2 linked regions of the Ovis aries genome follow. Each later gene encodes a partner of the first gene's protein in a complex. Links are inferred from orthologs where the notes say so. Each region holds a gene or a part of one and is shown on either strand. Other genes may lie near its edges.

Region 1 (3,815 bases):
CTACTTTATCCACCCAAAACCCAAGCAGCTTAGCCCAGCAGAGGTTCTCACCCACTGGGTCTCTGCACATCCAGGCCCTGGTTGTTGCCTGGCAAAACTTTAGTGCCCAGTTCACTCAGCCAATGCTGATGGGGCCCTACTCAGAAGAGGGGGCAGTGAGGATTCCTCTCCTGGTTCATCCTTTGTTGATTCCCTTGACTCTTCTGCCTCGATGACCCAGTCCTCCCCTGCCCTCTCTACCTCAGAAACTGTCTCATCACGATGACATCTGCCGATTGCGGAATACACATTGGGTGCTAGTCTTCACAGCAGACTTCTGGGGCGGGCACTTTATCATCTCCATCTTTAAGATGAGGGGACTTGGTGAAGTTAAATGACTTGCCCACAGGCCCCACAGCCTTGACTGTGCCTGGGGTTAAGAACCCAAGCAGTCAGCCTTTAAGCACTAGCAGCTCATAGAGCCATAGTTTGCCAAGCCCAATACTAGATGTTGGAGAGGGCAATGACAAGCCATTCCAGTACTCTTGCCTAGAGAATCCCATGGACAGAGGATTCTGGCAACCTATAGTCCATGGGGTCGCAAAGAGTCAGACACGACTGAGTGACTAACACATAATAGATGATGCCTTTATTTCCAGAATCCAAGTATTATCCCATCAAGGAAGAGGAGGCAATCATATTAATTATCCTTAAATGAATGAATCTCAGCTCCTTCCAGCACCATGGGAGTGGGCAAGGGCACAGGCCCAGGAGGACAGGGACACAGAACAAGAGGCTGAGATTGTGCACTGGATGTTCGTGGCCTTTAGTTCATTGAGGGGGCTTCAGAGCTAGTCCCCAAGTCTCCCTAGCCATGCCGTCCAAGCCATCTCTGACCCCCGAGTGAGAGCCTAGTGAGGGGAGGATAAAGCAGGGGATGTCACAGCTGAGCCAAAGGAGATCTGGGCCTCAGCTCTGACCACCCTGTTCCGGGGTGAGAAATGCACCCCCTCCTCCAGCCCTGGTCTCTGGTTCCTCTGCCATCTCCCCCCGACCCTCACCCCACTCGCAGCAGCCTCCTCCCCCCATGCACACCTGCCGGGCTGGGATCCCGTGTGTTGTGTGTTGGGTGACTGACCCCGGCCCTCTCTGTCTGCAGACACGTTCTGGATGAACCCTCAGTACCTGATCAAGCTGGAGGAAGAGGACGAGGATCAGGAGGACGGGGAGAGCGGCTGCACCTTCCTGGTGGGCCTCATCCAGAAGCACCGCCGGCGGCAGAGAAAGATGGGCGAGGACATGCACACCATTGGCTTCGGCATCTATGAGGTATGGGGGCGGGGCATCCATGGGAGGGGCGGGGCGGGGCTCCGCTTTCCCTTGGGTCTCAGCTCTTAGCCTCTGCCAACCCCAGAGGCAGACCTGGGGAGGAGGCCCTAAACCAGAAGCTTGGCCAAAGGAAACCAAAGCCAGGGTCCAGGCCAGTCTTAGGAGAAGTCATGCAGGGAGGTCCCTGCAGTTGGTCTGTGTCACTGGAGGCCCCCCTTTCCCTGCAGCCAGCTTCCGGAGGTCCCACGGTATCAAATGGCCTCTGTAGCCCTTCTCACATCCCCAGGCCTGGCACTCTGGTTGGTCATCAACCTCCAGTAAATTGAATAGATGTGAACTGAGGACAGAGCATATGGAACCACACCGGGCACCAGCGTGAGGACGAGAAATGAGCCAGCAGGTGCCTCTCTGGTCCGAGTCCACAGTGTCCGCTCTGATGGCAGAGCGCTGGGGAGGGGAGTAGTTAGCTGGTCATAGGTTCCAACCAGGGCTCCGCAGGTGGAGCCCGGCCCCCACACAGGCACGGTGACGGCCCCATGTCCTTTCTTCTGGAGCTTTACAAAATAAACCAAAGCCCAGCTCAGCCACAGTCAGAGCAGCCACGTCATTGCCACTACTGGGTCCCCTCCCCACTCCTTTCTACAGCACAGAGAAGAGCTTCTCCCAGCCTGGGGTGAGCAGTGGGAGAAGAGGGGTGAAAGGAGGACTTCAGAGCCACTGAAGTCGGGTGCAGATCGGTGTGATGGGGGGCCCTGGTGATGTGCTGGAGCTGGCCCACTCTCTCTGGCCCCACCTTTCAGTGAAGTCTCGTTGGCAGCCCAAAAATGACCTTGGCAAGGAGTGGGCAGTATTTACACTTAGGAATTAGCAAATATTGCAAATTAGGGTTCCCACCATACCCTGAGAGCTGGGCTCCCAGCACAGCACATGGGAGTCAGGCACAGTGTCAGAGAGAAGGCTCTCCACTCACTTCGCTTATCAGGGCCGTGATCTACCTTCTCACCCACAAACAAGTGGAGTTGGGCAAACACCATCTTTGCTAAAAATGCACACAATTCCAAGCTCCTCAGTCTCTGAAGTAGGAGCTGAGGACTTCAGAGCTGGGACAGAATAACCGCCAGAAAAATGCAGACTGAATTGTGACACCCATCCCACCCTACCCCCACCACTCACAGGCTAGGAAATCTAGCCATAGGCTGCAATCTGAGAAGGACCTGGGGGATCATTTGATCCCATTTTAGAGATAAGGAAACTGAGGCCAGAGAAGGGAAGTGAGTTACTTGAGGAAATACAGATGGAGGTGGCCAACAGGAACCTAGAACTGACACCTGCTGGCTCTAGGCCAGAGCACACCCTGCTGCTTCTTCAAGCAGCTCAGCTCTGTTTTTCCTGGGGGGAGGCCGGGTGTAGGCTTTGCTGCAGGCAGCTGGGTAACCATAGACAGCCACTTCACAGCTCCAAGCCTTGGTTTCATGCTCTGTAAGTTAGGAATGGTGATAAGGGCTCATCCTCATTCTTGCCAAGTCCTAAGAATTTTTTAAAAATTTTTTAAAATGTGAGAATGCTTTGAGTTCCTTGGAAAATAATTATTTTGATGACTTGTTATTATTGCTAAGGCTACAGAAGGAGTAGGGTAACAAAGGAAACAATCTCAGTGGTGACATTTCTTCACGGAGCTCTTCCAGAGTCTGAATTACACATGCTTTCCTTTATTTGCAGGTTCCAGAGGAGGTACGTCTGGCACACGACAGCCCACATCCTTGGGGCTCAGGTTCACCAACAAGGAAGAGGCTTAGACTACTGGCTCTGGGGTCTCGTGAAGCCTGGGCAGGGGCTCGTGTCTATGAAGAGTGAATACCCACCCCCGCCCCCTGAGCCCTGGTGAGGTTGCTCAGGTCCTAGGTCTCAGGGTCTAAGCACATGGGGTGGGGTCCAGGGCAGTCCCCATGGAACGTACTTTCTCCCTGAGGCCGGCAGAGTCAGGCACATTTAGTCCTGGGTGGAGGTTCGTTGGTCCTGGGACTGTGGGAGACTCTTCTCAGAGTCCTGTAATGCTCCTGAAATAGGCTAGAGCGATATCCCTCGCTTTCCAGTGGTTAGAACTCTGCACTGCCAGTGCAGGGGCGCAAGTTCAATCCCTGGTCAAGGAACTAAGGCCCCACCTGCCTCATGGCATGACCAAAACAAACAAAAAAAAAAACTGGCCTAAAGAGAAATGATGAGCCCTACAAGTGGTGTTACAAGGAGATGGGGAGACATAGCAAGAGACCTGGAGCCCGTTCCCAGCTCTGCCACTTGCAGGCTGTGTGACCTTGGACAATTTACCTGTCCTCTCTGAACTTCCGTTTCTTCGTCAGTAAAACTGATTAGCCATCCACCTTACCAGGTTGTTGGGATGCACTGAGATACGTGAAGCACTTAACAGGCCCACAGTTAGGCCTCACTGAGCTGGTGAGATGCACAGTGGCGGTGTGTGTCTTTAAAGGCCACGGTTACTCAGCACAAGC
Region 2 (3,815 bases), on another chromosome or scaffold:
ACAGAACTCATGAATATTCTCAACAAAGTGGTGACCCGACGTGAGTGACCGGGGTTAGCAGACAGGGCAGGTTTGGAGGCATGGTGGCTGGGGTAGTTGTGATCTCTGGCCTCTGACCTTCAACCTGTATCCCACAGATCCTGATCTGAAGACTGATGGCTTTGGTGTTGACACATGTCGAAGCATGGTGGCTGTAATGGATGTATCCTTGAGAGTAGTCTGGTGGAGAACTTGAGGATGAGGGAATTTTCTTTGGCCATGCTGCGTGGTTTGTGGGATCTTCATTCCCCAACCAGGGATTAAACTGGGGCCCTGACAGAGTAGGGAGTCCTAACCACTGGACTTCCAGGGAATTCCCAAGAAGGGATTTTCTGCGAGAGTGGCTGGGGCAGTCAGGGTGTAGCTTTCATACCCACAGATGTGGACACGTATACATTAGAACACACACCCACCTATGGACATGTGGCAACACATAATAACATCAGCTGTCATGACTGGCACTTTACTTACATTTACTTGACAGCCACCTTGTGGGACAGGTATGATTATTATATTCCATTTTACAGATGAAGAAACCAGGCAGGACCTAGAGAGGCAATCATTCAACGGACCTTATAACCTTATAACCCCACCTTGTAACTGCCATAGGTTTGCCCACATGCACACACACATATATAAGGGCACACCCACATACATGAAGATATGTAGAGGCGTGTGCATGGGAACACACATCATTCACTGATTTTGGACACAGACACATACTGCATGCACAAAGCATTATAGACACACACATATATGCATGTCATGTGATGACATATATGTGTTGTCTAGGGTGAAACAAATGCAGCTCAGCCTCCTAGCAAGGTTACTGAACCTCTCTGTGCCTCAGTTTACCTCTTGATAAAATTGGGTGAATGATAATGGTGATACCAAATTGGCGTTTCATGCAAAAGGCTTAGCACAGTGGGTAGCACAGAGTAAGTGGTCTCCACACACTAACTGTTACTATGATCTCACCTGGGTAGATTTTTCAGCTCTGAAGCTGTTTCTCTGTCACCCAGATACAATACTGATGGGGCTGGGATCTTGAGGATTTAGTGAGACAAGTGATGTTCCTGAGAAGTTTAGCACTATCTGAAGTCATGTGGTAAGTCTTGGCCATTGTTGCTGTTTACTGAGAATTTATCAAGTGCCAGCCCTGAGCTGAGTGAGGGCTTTATACCAATATCTCCTTCACTTTTTATCACAAGTACGTCAGGTATTTACTCTTATCACCTCATTTCCCTAGAGTTCTAAGATACCCTGGTGTTTTACATGTCCTAACATTTGTAAGTTTGAATTACTATCAAAGAATGTTATAAATGAGGATTTCATGTGATTATGTGTAAAGAGAGTCTTTATCATTTAGAAATACAAACTAAAGTGCCTATGGGCAAAAAGAACAATGAAGCCACACACAAGGTGACAGGACGAGGGTGGGATGGGAGCTGGGGTTTTAGCCCAGGCTCCCCTGCTTGGCCCTTACCATCATCATGTACACTGTCCACACTTCTGGGTATGGCTATTCTTAACACCCTCCCACCAGAGTGATACGACTGGTAAACTGGGCTTTGAAGAATTCAAGTACTTGTGGAACAACATCAAAAAGTGGCAGGTGTGTTCGGCCTCTGAAACGACTGACACAAAGACAGTGCCCCAAGCCTTGGAAATGCCACGCCCCATGAGGCCCAGCTGAATCCTGACCTCCTTGTCCCCACAGGCCATATACAAACAGTTTGATGTTGACCGTTCAGGGACCATTGGCAGCAGTGAACTCCCAGGGGCCTTTGAGGCAGCAGGTGTGGCTGGCAGGAACATGGTGGGACTGGGGGTGGGAATGGTGAGGCAGCCTCCACTGATCTGGTCTGAGCCTGAATCCTGGGGCTGGGAGAGGGTTCGGCTATGTGGCCCCCACACCTGTTAACTAAATCGTTCTCAGGATTCCACCTGAATGAACATCTCTACAACATGATCATCCGACGCTACTCAGATGAGGGAGGGAACATGGATTTTGACAATTTCATCAGTTGCCTGGTCAGACTGGATGCCATGTTCCGTAAGTGACACCCCAGCTCTCTTCCCAGGTGGGGATTTGTCAAGCCTCCTTGGGCCAAGCCTCCTTTGAGCCTGACACTGAGGTAGGCAGTGTTAGGGGCACAGCAGTGACTGAAACAGCCCATGTTCTTGCCTTTATGTTGCTCACAGTCCACAGGAGAGGCAAATTACCAGACAGTGGCAGCTCGGGATGGTTAAGTCTGGGATCGGGGAAGCCTTTGCAGAGTGATGGGGGCTGTGAGGGGAAGGTCAGGGTAGATCAGGTTTAGACTTGTAACTGGGAGCTCTTCAAACTTAACTAGGCAGCTGATGTAGCTTAAGTGATCAAGGAGGCCTTCCTGGAGGAGGGAGGGCATGTGTGAATTGAGACCTGGTGGGTAAGAAGTGACCCCAGCAAGCGAGTGGGGAGCAGTGTTGCATTGGGAACAGCCTGTGTGAAGGCCTAGAAAGGAAAGAGGAGATGGTGATCTCGGTGATGGTTAGAGTATTTATTTCATGGAGGAGGAACCTAGGGTTTGAGGAGGCGAATTTCTTGCTCACAGCCACTTAGCTAGAAGTTGCAAAGCTAGAATTTGAATGCAGATTTGTCTGAGAGGGGGCAGGAGCAGTGGGATGGTCAGGCCATGCAGGGCTGTGAATGCCAAGTTTGAAGGTGCTCAGACACTAATGCGGACAGTGAACAGGGTCTAGGCAGGGGAAGAACAGGGTCTCAGGTTTCCTTTAGGAAGATCTCCTGGCATGCCAAGAGCCCAGGGCGGACAGTATATTAAGAGCATGCAGGGAAGAAAAGGGGCATGTATGTTGGGGACATGAAGGGAAGGTGGGAGAGGACAACAGGGCAGATGATGCCAAAAGCCATGTATGAGAGGGTCAAGAAATGGCCTGGGGTTTACCAGCAAGAGGGCTAGCTGCACATGGAGTGTCCAGGGTACCACACGCGTGGACCCCCAAGGGTGGTAATTGAGCCGTGAGTGAGAGAGAGCCACACAGACTGTGGGCACCTGTTTACATACAGGTTTGGCTGTGAGTGGGGAACATGGAGATGAGTTTCAGGGCAGGAGTGGGGACCACAACAGACTGTAGGAGCAGGAAATGCAGAGCCTCCTTCCAGTAGATTGTTTTAGCTGGAACTGGAGGTTGGTAGGGGGCTGGGGCTTGGGCAGAGGGTGATGAGGGGCGTGAAGGTCAAGATATGGAGGCCATTATTGAGATGAGTAGCAGTCTGGGTTCCAATCCCAGTTTCCTTTTTCTCTATGTAACACAGGGACATCACTTCACCTTTCTGTGCCTTATTTTAAAATGACACTTACCTCCCAAAATTGGGTTAAATGAATTCATACACGGAAAGCACTTTATACAGGTGCTTGCCAGAGTAGACAGACTACTAGCTGTTAGTATTATCATATATTAGTATATTTTAATCCTAAAAGCCAGTCCCACCAACCCTTCCTTTCCCCAGGTGCCTTCAAATCTCTTGACAAAGATGGCACTGGACAAATCCAGGTGAACATCCAGGAGGTAAGAACCCCCATCTCCACCCTGGGATTGGGGATACTAGCAGAGGGCCCCTCCCCTCAGCCCCATGTACCAGCTTGGAGCTAGGGCTCCCTCCCTCCCAATTTCCCAAAGACCCCTGGGTGAGAGCAGAGAAGGGCTGCTGGTATTCCTGGGTTCCCGGCTCCTCACTGTCTGTCCCTTCCTTTCCCCAGTGGCTGCAGCTG

Evidence for each region.
Region 2: the proteins of CAPN2 (region 1) and CAPNS1 are in contact, whole or in part, in a crystal structure (PDB 1KFU), measured with the Homo sapiens proteins. The link is inferred for Ovis aries from reciprocal best matches to the Homo sapiens genes CAPN2 and CAPNS1. Residues at the interface, in NP_001739.3 of Homo sapiens: Ala2, Gly3, Ile4, Ala5, Lys7, Leu8, Ala9, Arg12, Glu13, Glu16, Phe60, Arg366, Arg416, Arg417, Arg418, Arg420, Asp494, Ile516, Phe551, Glu575, Lys578, Val581, Asp582, Asp585, Gly588, Ser589, Gly590, Gln641, Leu642, Gln644; in NP_001003962.1 of Homo sapiens: Thr85, His86, Ser88, Asp111, Asp112, Met113, Glu114, Ser116, Thr118, Asp142, Arg145, Ser146, Ala149, Val150, Met151, Asp152, Ser153, Asp154, Thr155, Thr156, Gly157, Gly160, Phe161, Glu163, Asn206, His208, Leu209, Met212, Ile213, Arg215.

The regions. Positions count from the first base shown.
Region 1 is NC_056065.1:26,355,763-26,359,577, forward strand, and holds part of CAPN2 (calpain-2 catalytic subunit), read left to right. Parts: intron 1-1,138; coding exon 1,139-1,308; intron 1,309-3,027; coding exon 3,028-3,039; intron 3,040-3,815. UniProt on the Homo sapiens protein: Calcium-regulated non-lysosomal thiol-protease which catalyzes limited proteolysis of substrates involved in cytoskeletal remodeling and signal transduction. Proteolytically cleaves MYOC at 'Arg-226'.
Region 2 is NC_056067.1:46,107,602-46,111,416, forward strand, and holds part of CAPNS1 (calpain small subunit 1), read left to right. Parts: coding exon 1-40; intron 41-137; coding exon 138-202; intron 203-1,585; coding exon 1,586-1,654; intron 1,655-1,759; coding exon 1,760-1,838; intron 1,839-1,978; coding exon 1,979-2,095; intron 2,096-3,553; coding exon 3,554-3,612; intron 3,613-3,803; coding exon 3,804-3,815. UniProt on the Homo sapiens protein: Regulatory subunit of the calcium-regulated non-lysosomal thiol-protease which catalyzes limited proteolysis of substrates involved in cytoskeletal remodeling and signal transduction. Essential for embryonic development.